Coturnix japonica: one gene and its partner. The protein of the gene in region 1 interacts with the protein of each later gene in a pairwise test. Links are inferred from orthologs where the notes say so. Each region holds a gene or a part of one and is shown on either strand. Other genes may lie near its edges.

Region 1 (7,661 bases):
ATCTCAGGCATTAAGTAAAAGCCAGAACTTAGTGCCCTCAGCTGAGCTTGGCTCACTCACTGGCTGGAATTTCTTGTCTGTCTTAGATTGTCTTGGAACACCCTTGGTAATGGAGGAGCCCAAGCGTTGGCCAGCATCCTCCCAGGGATGGAAAAACTGAAGATCTTAGAGTGAGTACAGCCCTGAGAGTAGCACCAGAAGACTTGTATTTGTGGCAGTGAGCCTTCAGCTGCAGTACTGCTGTGGGATTAATGTAGGAGCAGCAGGCGGACAGGCTTCTGCCATCTGAATGCTTACTTAGCCTGCTGCCAAAGGCCAGCCTTGCTTGGATGATGCATAGAGCACAGAGGTGCTGAGGCAGACTTGTTTAATTGGATGTGTTTGCTGTGGGTATCTAAGCAAACGCTATCCGACCTATGCTTCAGGAAAGACAAAATGGTATTCCTTGAGGTCGAGCCATATCATCTAACAGTCTCAAGTGAGCTGCTGCTTGCAGTCTGTTACTTCTCTTTGGTGCCTAGGGTGGTCTGGATAGATGAGTACCCTTCTCAGACAGCCTGTGGCAGGGCAAGAAATACATAACCCAGGCTGTTGTGGCCTAACTGTGGGCCTTGGGCCATGGGAGAACATGGGAAGTTCTGATGCTGCTCCTGTGCTGGAGCTGGATTCAATGTTACACATTCAGGTCTGATCCAGTGGCATCACAGTGCAGCACTATTCGGTGATAGGGACCATCATCTGCTTCCCTCCCCTTGGCCCTTTGGAACATGTGGTGTGTGCCTTCCATCCCTCAGCTGGACAAAAATAATAGTTTGTGGTTCACGGGATCAGGATCTGAGTTTTGTTTGTCTTGGGCAGGGAAAACATGCAGTAGAGCTTACAAGTCCTATTGCTAGAAGGAGGCTGTGGGCAGCAGTGCGTGCTTCTTGTATAAATAGGGCTGCGGTCATCAAGACGAGGCTGGTGTCCATTGTGGAACGTGGTTGTGCTTGTGCAAAAGTGTAGCTCTTAGACAAGAGAAAAGAGGCAGCAATGGTTCTGCTGTTTTCTGCTCTTGATTTGGTTTTGCTTTTTAAAACTCTTTGTTTTTTTTTTAACACAGCCTGGAGAAAAATCGCATTGGTGCCCGTGGTGCTACCAGGTTGGCAGAGGAACTTGTCAGGTGCCCAGAAATTCAGTTCATAAGGTGAGTTCATAAGGTGTTACTGAGGGCTGGGGCCGAGTGTTGGCCCATTTAGGAGAATGGGGTGACCCATCATAGGAGAGATGTGACTTGTGCTGGCCTGCTGCCCCAGGTTGTCTTGCATGGACTAGGATGCTGCAGGGCATCCAGGCACAAGCCATGGAAAGTGGGGGTTTGCTGGATCAGAGAGAGTCCTGGGACAAAAGGCCTGAGGGCATTTCAAAGCTTAGGCCTCTCCCAACCTCGATCACTGAGCCCATCTTAGCAGGCAGGCGTGTGCTGAGTTGCTGCTGTGTTGCTGAACTTTGACCCTGCTTTGCTCCTGTCTCACTTTCGGACCAGCTTTGATAAGAACCCAAAGCTGCTTCTTCCATTTAACTGCTGTGCTGGGTGTGCCACCTCCTGGCCCACCACACCAAGTCCTGCATTCTGTGTTTGCTGTCATTGCAGGCTGTGGGACAACCCGGTGCCCAAGGACCTCGCTGAAAGTTTGACAAGCCAAGACCCAAGACTGTGCTTCTCCTTCTGTTAGCAAAGGACAGGCCTCGCCTGATAGCAATTGCTCTCTGTTTCCCATTGACCTCAAGAATTGCACTAAAAGGGATCCTGAAGAACACAGGAAACCAGAATTCCTCCAGTTAAAACCTGTGATTATGTCTTCCTTCGTTGCACTGGATGAGATGTGAGCACTTAGGTGTGTTTTGTTTATGGTGAGCTTTCATTGTGAACCAAAAGCCTGAAGAACCGCTGCTGAGCAGGCAGCATTCTCACTGTACCAACTCTCCAGCTAGTTTTGGGATGATGAGATGCATCTGATCACACTTCCAGAAAACAAGCAGAATGCTTCATTATCTTTAATCAAGATTGCAACACCTCCAGGATGTTCCAATCAAAGGATGAACATCCTCCAGGAGAGGATGTCTTTTTTTCTTACAGAACCGTGAACTGTTGACACAGATACGAATGCACTGGAACAAGCTGCTTGGAAACTGTGTGTAGCTCTTTGTAAGATAGCTCTAAAGGCTGTAATGTAGGTTGTTTGCTTCATAGCAGGCTTTCCCTCCTGCAGAACTGCTTCTGTTTCCTGGTAAAGCCTTTGTGTTATTGTAAAGTGAATGATGGATCAATGGTTGTCCAGCAGTGATGGTCGGGCAGTGATCTGTATTTGCATGGAGATATTATATGGGTAGGCTGATACTGCCATGTATTTCAGTGAGCAAACTGAAAGTACTGAGGCTTGTAAGAGAGCTGTGACTGTTCATTGTGAGAAGATACGCCTGCTTTCCTGTGCAGCTCTGCGGGGTTTTGGTGGCGTTTGGATGGCCCGCTGTGTCTTTGAGGTGATGTGAGGGATAAGTTAGCTTGACACACCACAGTGTGGACTGCAGAAAGGATCCTTCAGGCCTCTACCACTGAATCCCAAAGCCTGGCCGTGCGGCTGCTGGACCTGTGGAGACCAAAGGGAGAAGATCCCAAGCACTGAGTTTGATGTACTGCCAATGAGACCGACCACAGCTGCCCCTTGTCTGCATGGAACGACAGCTTGCATTGCAGCTATGTGGTTCTCATTATTTATTAACTTGTATTATAATGTTTTCCTTATGCGTTTGTGCTGCAAATATTTCATCCTTGCGGTGAGCTCATGGAATTTTGTTTACAGCAGCGTTTGCCCTGGAAAGAGCAAACTGCAGGGCAGGAATGGGAGCGAGGTGGAAACTCAGGGCTATCAGTGCAGCACTGCCCTGGGCTTGAGGCATCACACAGTGCCTGGGAAGGCTCCATGGTCCCCTACAGCTCCAGGTTCACCCCCAGATCCCCGATTACCGGCATCCATCAGCCCCGATTGTGGCTGCTTAGAGGGAGCGCAGGACGCCAGGTGTCAGCAGAGCCCTGCTTGCTGTATCGGCTGCTTCGGGCCTGACACGTCGCTGTGTTAAATCTCAGCGTTTCGAGGAGCTGCGATGAGGGATGAGATCAGGATGGGTGTTAGGAAAAGAGTGGTGGGACGTTGGGACGGGCTGCCCAGGGAGGCGCTGAGGGACGAGGGCAGAGCTGCTGGAAGGCGGGCTGTTGCTTGGCAGACCTCGGGGGTCTTTTCTACCCGTGATGATCCCGTCCCACCCCCGGTCCCAGCCTGATCCTGTCAGTGCCGGTCCGTCCCGTTGTGCCTCCAGTCCTCCGTGCCCAATCCCAAAGTTTCCGGGGGTGGAAGCTGAGGGCTCCCCGCATCCCTTCCCACCCACACCGTTAGCCTGGAGCGTTTTTAGATCCTTTACGACGTGATTTCGTCTTTATCACCGCCCCAAAAACCCAGCGGGGCCCACGAAGGGCTCGGGGCCGAGCCGGACCATTCCCGCCCACGGCGGCTCCTCACCGGGCTCCGCTCGGTCCCCGCGCGCGGGGCCGCCTGAGGGGGCGGAGGAGGGGGCGGTGCTGCGGGCCGCACCCCCACAGAGACGGCGGGCAGCGGCCATGGCGAGGAGCTGAGCCCGCGGTGTGCGGTGAGTGCGGACGGGACGGGACGGGGCGTAGCGGTGGTGGTGCGGCCGGCTGATGTCGGAGGTGTTTGCCGGCAGTGGTGGTTCTGCGATGGGAACGCTCCGCACTGCCCCGTTGTGTGGGAGCCGTTCGGTCCTGGGGTGGGCGAGGAGCAGGAGAGGTGGATTTATTTGGTGGTAGCCGTTGTTGGGAGGGAGCCGAGCGACCAAACGGCTGAAAGCAGCAGCAAAATGCCTCCTTGTCGCTCCGCTAAGAACTCCTTACGGCTTCTTTGAAACCTTTGTGGAGGTTCCTGACTCATCCTTCACAGCTCGGGCTGTTGGCTGGGCGCAGGTGAGTTGGGGGCTGTGCTTCTTGTCTGCTCTGTCTGGGCCTTTGGGACCAGATCGCCTGGGTTTTACATCCAGCACGAGACTCCAGAAGCTGAGGAGGAAGCATTGGGCACTGTGGGGCTTGTGTTACAGATGGGAACAAATCGGGGCTGGGAACACAAGTTTTGCTGCTAATTGACACGTCCAGCTCTGCACAACCATTCCAAGCAAGTTTAACATTCCCTCCGGTGGCTTCTAAAGGAGCCGTGAATCCACCAGGCTTCAGTCCCCTTACAAGCAGTGTTTGGGGTTTCGTGTCCCTGCTGCACAAAACCCTATCAGGGTGAAGCTTCGTGCCGGGCTGTGGGGAGGGAATCCTTTAGGAAAGGAAAAGGTGGGTTCTGAGAGCTGATGTTCTGTCTGTGTGCAGTGCGAGGCTGAGCACCGGCTGCAGGGCTGTCATCACTGCCTCCTCCATCGCTGCCCTCCTGCTTGGCTTCTGTCCCCAGCATCATTGTGCCTCGGTGTCAGTGCACTGGTGTGAATGAGCATTGCACAAAACTTAATTAGTGCTTTTTATAGCATCAGGCTTTGAACTTCTGGCTGTTCAGCAAGCCCAGTGCGTGCCCCGGCTGGCTTATGGTGACCCTAATGGATGTGGGCTAGGGATCATGATAGGACACATTGTTTATAGGGTGGTGGAAGCCCTGGTTCCTGCCCCACAACCAGCCCTGCTGCTGCTGGAGGCTGACTGGGAAACCCCTCTCTGCCAAGTCCTGCCCTTGTGTGGGGTGGAGGGGCCCGGGGGCTGCAGGTGTGTATGATGTTGGAAAATGCTTAAGGATATTTCTCATTGCTGAAGTGATTTTTTTTCCCCCTTCTGCCTCGTGTTGGCTGGGAATAGGAATTCAATTACAATTTGGAAGAAGAGAATTTGAGGTTTAATATATTAGATAAGCTTCTCAATAAGCCAATATACACTAAGCGTCCTGGGGTTGGAAGGAACAAATAGTTTCCATCTCGTATCAGGGTGGGAAGGCATCAGTGCAGCTGATGGCGTCTCCTGGCTCCTTACACCCCACAGCCCCAGCCCTGGGATCTGTCTCCAGCATTCACTTCTCAATACATGCAGCCTGCTGAGGGTTCGCTGCCATCGCCAGCATTCACAGTGACATCACTCTATTTTCTGCCCTAAATCACAAATTTCCCTAAATCGAGCCTGAGAGGAAGCGTGTATTTAAATGAAAACGTGTGGTTGTTGTGGTGTGTACCAGCCAAATGAGTGGCAATGGGGCCTGGTTGGAGGCTGGAGACAGCCCAGCCCTCCCTTTGCTCAGTGGTGCACTCAGACCCACCTGGGCTGTTCCAGGAGCAGGGAACAAGTGAGAGATGATCCTGGAGGGGAAAAAAGTGATGGAAATAGTCAAGCTGTGACCCAGCCAAGGGTCTGGGTGCAGGGACAGTTCCAACAGGATGGGCTGATGACACGCTCATGTACTGAGCTGTTACAGGCACCAGGTGCAGGCTGGTGAGTCCACTGTGATACCTGGGTGAGGCTGCACTGCAAACGCTTTGCTTTGCAAAATAATCCTGTCCGTGACCATGTTTGTTTACAGAACTGAGCTCAGAGATGTCCTCTGTGTGAACCCAGAACTACCTGCTTGGCTGCCATCTCTCCTGTTCTCTGCTTCTCCCCTACAAGGAGGCTGTAGTGGGTAAATTGAGTCATGGCTTCTGTGCCGTCCTGCAGGAATCGGTGCACTTCCCCAGGAAAAGAGAAGCCTTCTGTTCTCTATGAAGAGAGCAATATTGATTCCTTCTTTCCTACAGAGAGGAATAACTGAAATACGAGGGTACTGTTAACATTAAGAGCCCCCCATGTTCTGCATCACATCACAGCCCGCTGTCCCACTCTAGGCTCTGTGCTCACCCTCCCTCCCTATGAGGAGCTGTTATTGTTCTGCTTCCCTAAGAGCTGCGCATCTGTTTCCTTTTGTAACGTAAACTCTGACCCCGTGTCCGAGTTTTGGGGCGGTTTGTTTTCTCTTTCGCTTTTCTTTTTTTTTCCCTGTTAGTGCTGCAGATGTGGTCGGTGAGATGTGCTGCTCGCTGGGCTTCTATGGGGGAGGGAGAAAGAGGAGGAGGAGGAAGAGAAGAAGGAGGAAGAAGGAGATGGGAAGGAAGGAAGGAAGGAGTAGGAGGAGGGGAAGAAGGAGAGGGAAGAGGGAGGATGAGGAAGGGGAAGAGAGGAAGGGAGGGAGGAGGAGTGGGAGGGGAGGAGGGGAAGGAAAGAAGAGAGGAGGAGGGGGAGGAGGAGAAGGAATTGCTGGACTGCTGGAGTTGTATGAACCCACAGATGGGGAACACCTCTCTCTACCCTATGCTTAGGGCTGGTTATCAGGCAACTGCTGTGGGCAGTGCTGGATGTCAGAGAGATGCCATAGTGTGTTCCTGGGTGTGACATAGGGGTGAAGGGACCAGACAGGTGTGTTCCCTGCTGCCCAGAGCCATTCTTTGGTGAGCTGGGCATGCATTAGGGAACCACGTGGCAGCACAATGAGCACGAAGCTGGCAGCTGTGATTATACGTTGGTAGAATATTTGGCTGCGGGTGCCAAGTGAGTCGGAGGACTTCATTTAGGGCGGTGAATGCAGAGAGATGAGAACAAAAAGAGAGGAGAGGCTGGAATATAGATGTGGAGAGCCAGCTCCGAGCTCCAGGCATCCCATCACCCTGGGGGAAGGTAGTGGATGTGTGCCATCACCTGGCCCAGGGATGCTGCTGCAAGAGGGGTGATACAGGTGGCCAAGACCTCATTTGGGCATCTCCATCCACTGTGCAGAACTGGCCTGTGTCAGCAGCTCCCTGATAGAAAAATCATCTTTGCTGCCATCGTAGGCTGGTGGCACCTTTTGTCTTCCTGGGGAGTTTTTTACTGGGCACCCCTGTGACACAGTGGGCAGGATGGAGAGGTCTCATTTCAGGCTCTGGGAACTGATGGCCACCGCTCCCCTTCCTTATGGGTGCTTAGGCCACTGGATGGGAGGCAGGGTTGGACTGCAGACAATGTGCAACACACTCAGATGTTCTGGTGCCAGCCAGCCCTGGGAAAAAGCTTTTTCCAGTGAGTCATTTGCTGTCTGTGCTTTGTGTGAAGCAGTGATGAGATTTGGGGGAAGGGGAGAGATGGAAAAACGCAACCCAGATCTCCCTGCTCCAGCAGGACCCCATCTATGCCAGCACAGCTGCCCTGTGTGTGCTTGTTGAAGGCAGCAGCAGAAATAGAACAGGCCTGGCTATTTTAGGACATAGATTGCATGATCTGGGTGTTAAAATAATAATAATAAAAAATCTTTATTTTAGCTGCAACTGGCAGCATGGGCTTGGAGAGGAGCAGGCAGGTAGTGCCTGCAGGCAGCCGGGCTGGGAGGTAAAGGGGCTGGGAGGTCTTCTTTCACCCTTTTTGATGCTGTTCAAAGAACCAGGTGGTGTTTCTCCTCAAGGATACGGCAGCAGGGCTCCTCACCTGTGCTTCATTTTGGATTGCTGGCAATTGGGAGTGGCAGCGTTTGGTTGGGTGAGCATTGGTTTGTGATACAGAGGGGTTAAATGTCAGAGCCCTGGGCAGATAGGGACAGCTGAACCCGTTCCCCTCCTTCCCCTTACTC
Region 2 (7,840 bases), on another chromosome or scaffold:
CAGTAAGCAGGCGAGAGCAGATACCTGCTGCCTTCCTCATTTGTTTTAATTGAAACAACGTGGAGACCAAGTTCGGCTTCTCCACTCCCCATACTTCTGGGTTCAGTGAGGTTATACAGCAAACCTGAAGGTAGAGTGTAAACCCATGAATGGCATGTTGTCCTCTGATTTGTCACTAACAAATCTGTGCACAGCCAGGCAACAGAGCACAGCAGCCACAGATTTAGCAAGGCTCCTTTACATACTGATTCTCACTCAGGCTGCTTTCAGAACAGGAGTTGGGAGTTCTTTCCACAGAATGGCTGTGCCTTTATGAAGGTTTTTGTATGTTTGTTTTTAAACTGAAGTTTTTATCCACTTCATGAAGTTATGTAGCATTACGTTGCAGCAGTGAGTTTTGGAGCAGTGTGTTGCATGCTTCTGAATATTTCATCAGGCATTACAGAAACTACTAATGAGTATTTTGCTGCTCTGCGATCCTTGCTCTCTCAAGGGAATTAACTACAAGCAAGTCAGCCAAGACAGTGATCTGGGGAGGAAAGGAAATAAAGAATTAAAAGAAAAACAAAAGAAAAAGACACCCATGCACTTCATTGCAGGTGCTATGCAGATGGCCAGTAGATGTTTAAATAAGCAGGGTGCAAAAGGAAAGCAACACTGAACTTCAGGCTGCAGAGAAGACACTGTGCCAAAGCATGTGCCTCCCACAGTGACAGGCCCTAGCTCAGAGTAAGAAAGGCCCTCACTCACAGTAAGGTACTCCATGCCATAAAGAGATGTGGAGATGGTGATATGTTGAAGAGGTCAACTCTGTTGTCCAGGAGGCAGTAAATTATGCCACAGCAATAAGCACCATTGCCCAGAGATTTCTTGATACTGTAAGTACAATTTCCATCTCAGCCCAGCATTACCACAGCTACCACGCTATTATAGTAGTCAAAATATCATCTCTGCATCTAATGCCTGTCTGCATAATTAAGGTGGCTTAAGAACAGGTAGAGTTGGTCATGGGCAAAGTTTAGTTTTGATCACAGAGACCACTGCATTATTGGTTTCAGTAATCCTGCCTGTAGGCCTACATGCAGTCCTGGAGTTCCTAAAAAGCCATGATTCATCACTTATCACCCAAGGATTCCTGCCCACTAGAGGGTGAAGTGCAAGATTGCATCTTAGACATCAATGTAAATTTAATTGGGACACCTTTCTTGGCTTTTCTCCCAAAGCTACAGCTCGGCCAACAGAAAAATCTTTTATTAAAAAGAAATGGATAGCTTTTCTTTATTGAAGTGCTAGCCTGTTTCCTTTAGAGTTCTTCTCCCATTCTTCTTCAGTGTTGAAGAAGCAGGTCTGCCACATACAAAAGGCTCTAAAATGTGCAATAAAACAAATTCACTCCAGGTTTTTCTTGCCTGTATATTTTCAACATAGCAGGTTACTATTTAATATAAATACATTAGAATTACAATTCTGGTATTAATCTCTGCCTTTTGTGGCTCTCCTCCCTACCACCACCTCAGCAAAACGGTGGGAAATAAATGGTAATGTATCACCACCCTTGATCTGATGTGAGATCAGAGAATAAAAGGGGGAAGGAATGTAGGAGTAAAAGCTGCTACCATTCCAATTTTCCAATTGAGGATAACTAAATTGTTCATTTTTTTTTTCCTCCCAGCTTTTTGGGGTAGATGAGTTGTTCTCCTGCCTTCAAGTGTTGCTTTAATTTACCTGCTTATTTAGAACTGGTTATGGTAATCACACTACTAAATGAAGGTAGATAGAGAAGATTAGACTCCCTCTAAAGAGAGTAAGGGTCTGGAAATCTCTTTTTACTTGTCTAATGATCTGCTGCTGGGTTGAGTAGAGGGCTCAGATCTCCACCAAAATTCAGAAGAAAATCTCCCATGCCCCTTAGCTGATATGCAGCAAAAAATAGGGAAAAAGCAGGGTTCTCAGCTTCTCCTTTCACAAAGCACGGGACAAAACTCCCTGATCCCAAAGATTCTTCACTGACTCAGACACTGGGTCAATAACGTCAGCAGCCCTAAAAAGTTACAGATTGCTTCACACACTCACACACACACATACACAAAAGGATAGGGCGAAGAACTTAAGCCTCTGCAACACATATGATAAAATATACTTCTGCCATAACCACTTTGGCCTAGTGGCCAGGCAATCCTCCGGTTTAAGCATTTGCACATTGTTTGGTGACGAGCGTAGGAAACGTATTTCATTTTCCATTTTAAAAGCTTAATCATCACAGCCTCTGCTGCAACTCCTGACAAAGAGCTTCTTGATCTTAAAGCAGCACTTACAGAAGAGTCAAACAGGCTTTAATTCTAATAATGATTAGGTTCTTTCCCAATTCTCCCTAGGGAATCTACAGCTGACATGAGACACGAAGGTCTCGGTCTCACAAAGATGGATGGGTACCGTGCTTATTTTATATTGAAGGCTTTTCAATCTGCACTAGGTCAGAAATAAGAAAGGCTTGTTCTGTCCCCTCAGCGTAGGCTTAAAGATGTAACAGAGAGCAGAATTTATCTCCTCATTTGTTGGAATTCAGAGTGAAGTTTATCTCCCCTTGACAGCCACACTGGGCAGACTAAGGCAGGAAGCAGCGATCGCCGCAGAGCAGACAGTGACATCCGGCACCCACACCCACCGCTGCTTTCTGCCAGGCACCCCGAGAAACAAAAGGCAGCTCCCAGATTTGCCACCCAGCCACAAGAGGAATTAAAAACCACGTCAAAATAACCTTCTAAATAAGCCAGCCCCCACCCAACACAAAGCAAGGGCGGCTGTACGTTTGGGAGTATCAGCCCCACCGCCCCCCCCGCACACTGACCCTACGATGGCGACGACGGCGGCGGCCACCATCAGGTAGTTGGTCTGGTAGTAGAGCAGGTTGTTGACAACCCGGTTGTTCCATTTCGAGATGTCCTTGAAATCGGGCCGGGCGAAACGATCGGAACCAGGGAAGAAATCCTCCCAGGAGCGCAGAGGAGCCACCTGCACCTCCATGGCTGCTGCCCCCGCCCCACCGCCGCGCAGGCCTCGGGCTTCGTGGTACCGCCCCGGGGCGGCTCCGGGCAGCGGGGAAATGGGAAAGGAGAGGCCGGCACGTAGATCTCCGCGTACCCGGCACTGTACGGTGCTTTCGTCACCGGCGGTTGTACGTTCTGTTCGCTCGTTCTACACAAATGTCACGCCGAATCCGGATTGCATCCCCGGCAATGAGGCTGGTGGGGCTTCTACAGCCTCGGGTCACACTGAGGTGGATGCACCCCGAATCCTCCATCCTCCAACCGCAGTGTCTGTGATGATTCTAACTTCTCACGTTAGGACATTTTCAGTGTTTTTACGCTTCATTTATCGTGGCTTGAGCACACATGCCTGATGCAGGTGTGGCTGTAACGTCTGGGGCTTGTGGCAGCTTCTCAATCTACGAAGTATTCGCGTTCCTCAGGGTGCATTCAGGAGCCTGAGGCCATGATCACGATCTCTATGAGCGCTGCACGGTCTGTTTCCCACCTCCCAGCTCCAGCAGCGCTCCTCGCTCTGCATATAGACAGACCCCTGTGTGCAGTGCAGCTCTATGCGCTCCCATGGGAAGACAACAGAAAATACTTGAGAGAGGAGCTGACACGACAGAGCTGGCTGATGGAGGCATGTCTAAAGCTATCTCTATGTTTGCCTTTACCCTATGTTGTGTATCACACACAGAAGCCCTAAGGAATCATCCCCCCCTGCCCCCATAGCACCGCCCATGATGGCGCCGCGCATGGCAGGAGCCCGGCGGCGAGCGGGGCACTGTGGGAAGCAGAGGGAAAAAATATGGCGGATGGTGAGGAACCGTAAGTGCCTTGTATGTGCGTGCTCGGCAGCCCCTTCCCCACGCTTCCCGGGGACGGGTGGGCCCTGGGGTCCCCTCTCCTTCCTCCCCGGTCTGTGTAGCGCGATACTGACCCTTCTTTTATTCTCTCTCTTTTAGGGAGAAGAAAAGAAGGAGGCTAGAGGAGCTGCTGGCGGATGGGTTAGTGCGGGGCTGCGGGCGAGTGGGCTCCCGGCCCAGGGTAGAGACAGGGACAGAGATAGAAGCAGGCAGCGCTTGTGGAAGGGCGGCTGGCAGTGAGGGGAGCCGCAGCCCCGCAGAGAGGTTGGGCTGTGCTGTGAAGGCCGCAGAGATGGGTCCTGGGAGCAGAAAGATTGAGGGGGTGAGAGAGAGCCAGGGGAAGGTGAAAGGGCGCTTGAGCAGCAAGGACTGGGGGAGAGGAATCTCCTGGGGAGAGGACCGAGGGGCTCACCCGCAGCAGGGGGTGGGTTGCGGGCTTGAAGCTTGGCATGATGAAGGCTGGTGTGCTGAGAGCTTTGTGGCAGGAGTGGGAGAGCTGCTGCTGGCCAGGACTTGGCAGAGCTGCTAGGCTAGGAGCAGGTGATTCAAAACTAGCCCAAAGTGAATATTTCAGTCTACAGAGCAGCTGCTTCTGCTTCTTAAAGCTCTAAATTCTGCTCAGCCTTAAAAACTAACATGCAGAAATCTCTGACCTCATATGCTTCCATCCCTTGACTGTTCCCCTCCATCTCCTTGTGGCCCTCTTCCCAAAGCTCCCAGAGCCGTGCTGGGGTGAGGGTCACAGAAACCCCGAGGCATGTGGGTTGTGGGGTGCATGCCACATCCTGCACAAGCATGGAGCATTTGGGTGTGCGAAGGTGGCAGGGAAAAGTGTGGGCCTAGAAGGGTTGTGGTGCTCTGATGTTTTGAACAAGATCTAAAATTCACTGAAACACATGCAAGTTTTGTTGAATTCTAATAATGTGAATGCCTGGTTGTGCTGTAACAACACAAGAATAAACGTGTCTCTAAAGCTAAACGTAACACCTCATGTTGAGTTGCTGGTGTTTTTCAGGTCTCCACAATGTCCAACTCTGTAAAAACCAAGCTAATATATTCGCAAAATTGAGACGAGGTCTTGCCATCTTACCACTAAAAAGAAAAATAAACATCTAAACAGACAACTACAGCTGCTTGGTGGCTGTTTATACTGCCTGAAAAGAAGGATTAAAGAATCCTTTGTAGTATCACCAGACTTAACTTCTGCACTTCTTTCCAGAACAAGATAAAATCCATACAAGCAATTATTGTGCTTTATAATCACCCATGTTACATTTGCAGAAGTTATTGTTTCATAAACATCCTATTTTAAAACAGCTGAGACTGTGATTCAGTGGAGGAAGAGTTTTATGTTGTCCTGCTTTCCTAAAATCTTACTTTGATGCAAAGTGGGAAACACAGGATACAGATCAAAATATCCTCTATGTACTTAAGCTCCTTATGAAGAATTTATTTAACTGCTAGGTTAACCTATGTAAAGCCAACAGTTGACCAGGATGGAGTTCAATCAGCGGTCAAAGTACAGGCAGAATCCAATATGTTTATTGTTGTTTTTCAGTTAAGTTTTTTCTCCCATTACTGAAAACCTTTTGCAAAACTATGACCTAGAAGTTAATGCCATCACAGACGCTGTTCTGTCTCCATCTGAATTCTGTGAGGATCAAGAGATTCACTGTCTAGATGTGACCCAAGGAAGTAATACATTCTAAACATTGATCAACAATTATTGATATAGACTTTCTTCATATTTCTTCATAGGAGGAACCAAATAATGCTTCTTATCGATGATGATCCAACCTTTCTAAGCTCATTTATAACCAGCTTAGTTTTGTATTAACATAGAGCAAACAGTCATTTGTATTCATGTGTGGAGCTCATACTTAAAAAGGGAGGTGTGCTGTGTTAAGGAAAGGCTTGTTCCTTGTAGGTGCTGTTACATTAGGAAATTATTTAAGTGAGCTGATTTTGAGCTTTTCTAGTAAGTCTTTTAACAGTTTAATTTTATAGTTGTGTACTACTAAAAGTGACCTGCAAAAGGTACTGGGAATACTTCGTGTAAAATTCTGTATCTGTAATTTAGAAGAAGAAAACTGCAAGTTTATTTTTCAAGTTAGATAGTAACTACTAACAGGCTCAGGAGACAGGTGGAAAATGAGAGTGTCTTAAATACATGGGACTCATGGCAGGTGAAGATTGTTCACTTTGTTGAGGGAACAGCACCCTCAAAATCTAAAGGGCAGCCTCTTTTTACATGCTCTCTTAAAATGTGAGGGAAATAAAAGGGAAAAGAGCTCACCCTTTTCGTTTCTCTTCAGATCAACTTTTACTAGTAGCAGCAAAATCAGTGGGATTTATTGAAATGCCAGTTTTTGTCTGCTGCATGTTTGTATTACTGCTTACTGGGGCCACTGATGAAGCCCACTCCTGCAGATGTGGGCTTACACGTGTTTGTGATCAACATAAACATGTGGATCCGTTTGCATGGCTGATCAGTGTTTTACTTTTAACCTATACAAGAAAAAAAAAGAGCACGTTTTAGAAGTGTGGCTATTTCTGTATGGTTTTGCAGCTGAATTTACTGTGTTCTGTGCAGAATGGCTGTTGATGGTGGGTATGGGGACTCTGGAGACTGGGAAGGTCGCTGGAACCATGTAAAGAAGTTCCTCGAGCGATCTGGACCGTTCACACATCCTGATTTCGAGCCAGGCACTCAAGTGAGAAACAATTACTTTAAATTAAGAAACAACTGTATTGTGTGTTGGAAACTAATGTCAGTGGTTTCATTAATTGACTACCAGCAGTATATGAACAGTAAACCTATGTGAAGACCATGTATTTCAATTGGTGAATGTGATTATATTAGAAGAGTGTGTCATATTCTTTTCATATACTTTTATTTCTAGATTGTAAACTGTCAACTTGCTGGCATGTGTAGAAATGTATTCTATGATACACAGTAATAATTATTCTCCATCTTTGAGTTTCACATGAAAAATAGTGTTAGTCTATTGATTTTTAAACAATTAGGCACAGTAAAGAATTCCTTGTACTTAAGAAATTAAACTTAATATGAGTACTTGGAGAATTGGGATATTCCATAGGGAAAAGCAAAATTTTGCCTCTCTGAATTTTCTTCTCCTTTCATTGCTTTGGTACCTTTTGTTTCAAAGCTTAAAGTTGAATGTGTTTAACCTTTTAAATGTACCATTCCATTATATGCTACTTTGACTATAGAGTCTAATAATGTAGTTAATAGAAAAAAAACTATGTGGCCAGCAATGTTTTCTATCTGTTTATTTTGTATTATATGTAAGCAAGCTGCTTGGGGGAAAAACACTAAACTGAAATGTGTCCTTAAACTGAGTAATAATAAAATGGAGCTTGCTTTTCTTTTTTCACAGCCAAATTAATTCAAAGAGAATACTGATAGCAAACAGACTCGCTTTCCTTTAAGTAGAGATACAGGAATTACATGAACTTAACAACTGATTAAAGTCCAAGTATAATTATTCCTGCAAGCTTAAACTATGTTATTGATCTAACTTATTTTATATGAAGCTTATTGTGCACTGAAAATTTATGATGACACAATTGTAAGGTGTATGAAACAAAGGACAAATGGTACCTTTTCCTATATGATGTATTAATTGTTTGTTTGTTTGTTTTATATTTTCCACAGGCTCTTGAATTTCTTTTAAGCACGTGTAAAGTACTAGTTATTGGAGCAGGAGGGTTAGGATGTGAACTCCTGAAGAACCTGGTAATTACTCAGTTTTCATCCTTTTCTTGTGATCTTAGTTACTCCTTGAAATGAGCTTGAAGGGTGGTAGTGTAAGGTGTACTTATTTTCTTTGAGCTCTCTCAGTGTTTCTCCTGAGGAGCAGTGTGCTGCTGTGTATGAAGTGCAGGAAAATGTTTATTTACAGCCTTAGGTAGGGCCTAATA

Evidence for each region.
Region 2: the proteins of CPNE2 (region 1) and UBA3 interact in binary tests that used the Homo sapiens proteins (3 or more experiments, as listed by UniProt). The two-hybrid records come from large-scale screens. The link is inferred for Coturnix japonica from reciprocal best matches to the Homo sapiens genes CPNE2 and UBA3.

Annotation. Positions count from the first base shown.
Region 1 is NC_029526.1:1,812,708-1,820,368, reverse strand, and holds the start of CPNE2 (copine-2), read left to right. Parts: upstream 1-3,285; 5' UTR 3,286-3,684; intron 3,685-3,743; exon of another isoform or gene 3,744-4,015; intron 4,016-7,552; exon of another isoform or gene 7,553-7,570; intron 7,571-7,661. Other genes in the region: protein NLRC5, read left to right, coding at 87-170, 1,103-1,186, 1,634-1,715.
Region 2 is NC_029527.1:12,739,419-12,747,258, reverse strand, and holds the start of UBA3 (NEDD8-activating enzyme E1 catalytic subunit), read left to right. Parts: upstream 1-3,773; 5' UTR 3,774-3,837; coding exon 3,838-3,857; exon of another isoform or gene 3,858-3,870; coding exon of another isoform or gene 3,871-3,872; intron 3,873-3,994; coding exon 3,995-4,036; intron 4,037-6,488; coding exon 6,489-6,609; intron 6,610-7,574; coding exon 7,575-7,655; intron 7,656-7,840. Other genes in the region: ARL6IP5 (PRA1 family protein 3), read right to left, coding at 2,849-3,024. UniProt on the Homo sapiens protein: Catalytic subunit of the dimeric UBA3-NAE1 E1 enzyme. E1 activates NEDD8 by first adenylating its C-terminal glycine residue with ATP, thereafter linking this residue to the side chain of the catalytic cysteine, yielding a NEDD8-UBA3 thioester and free AMP.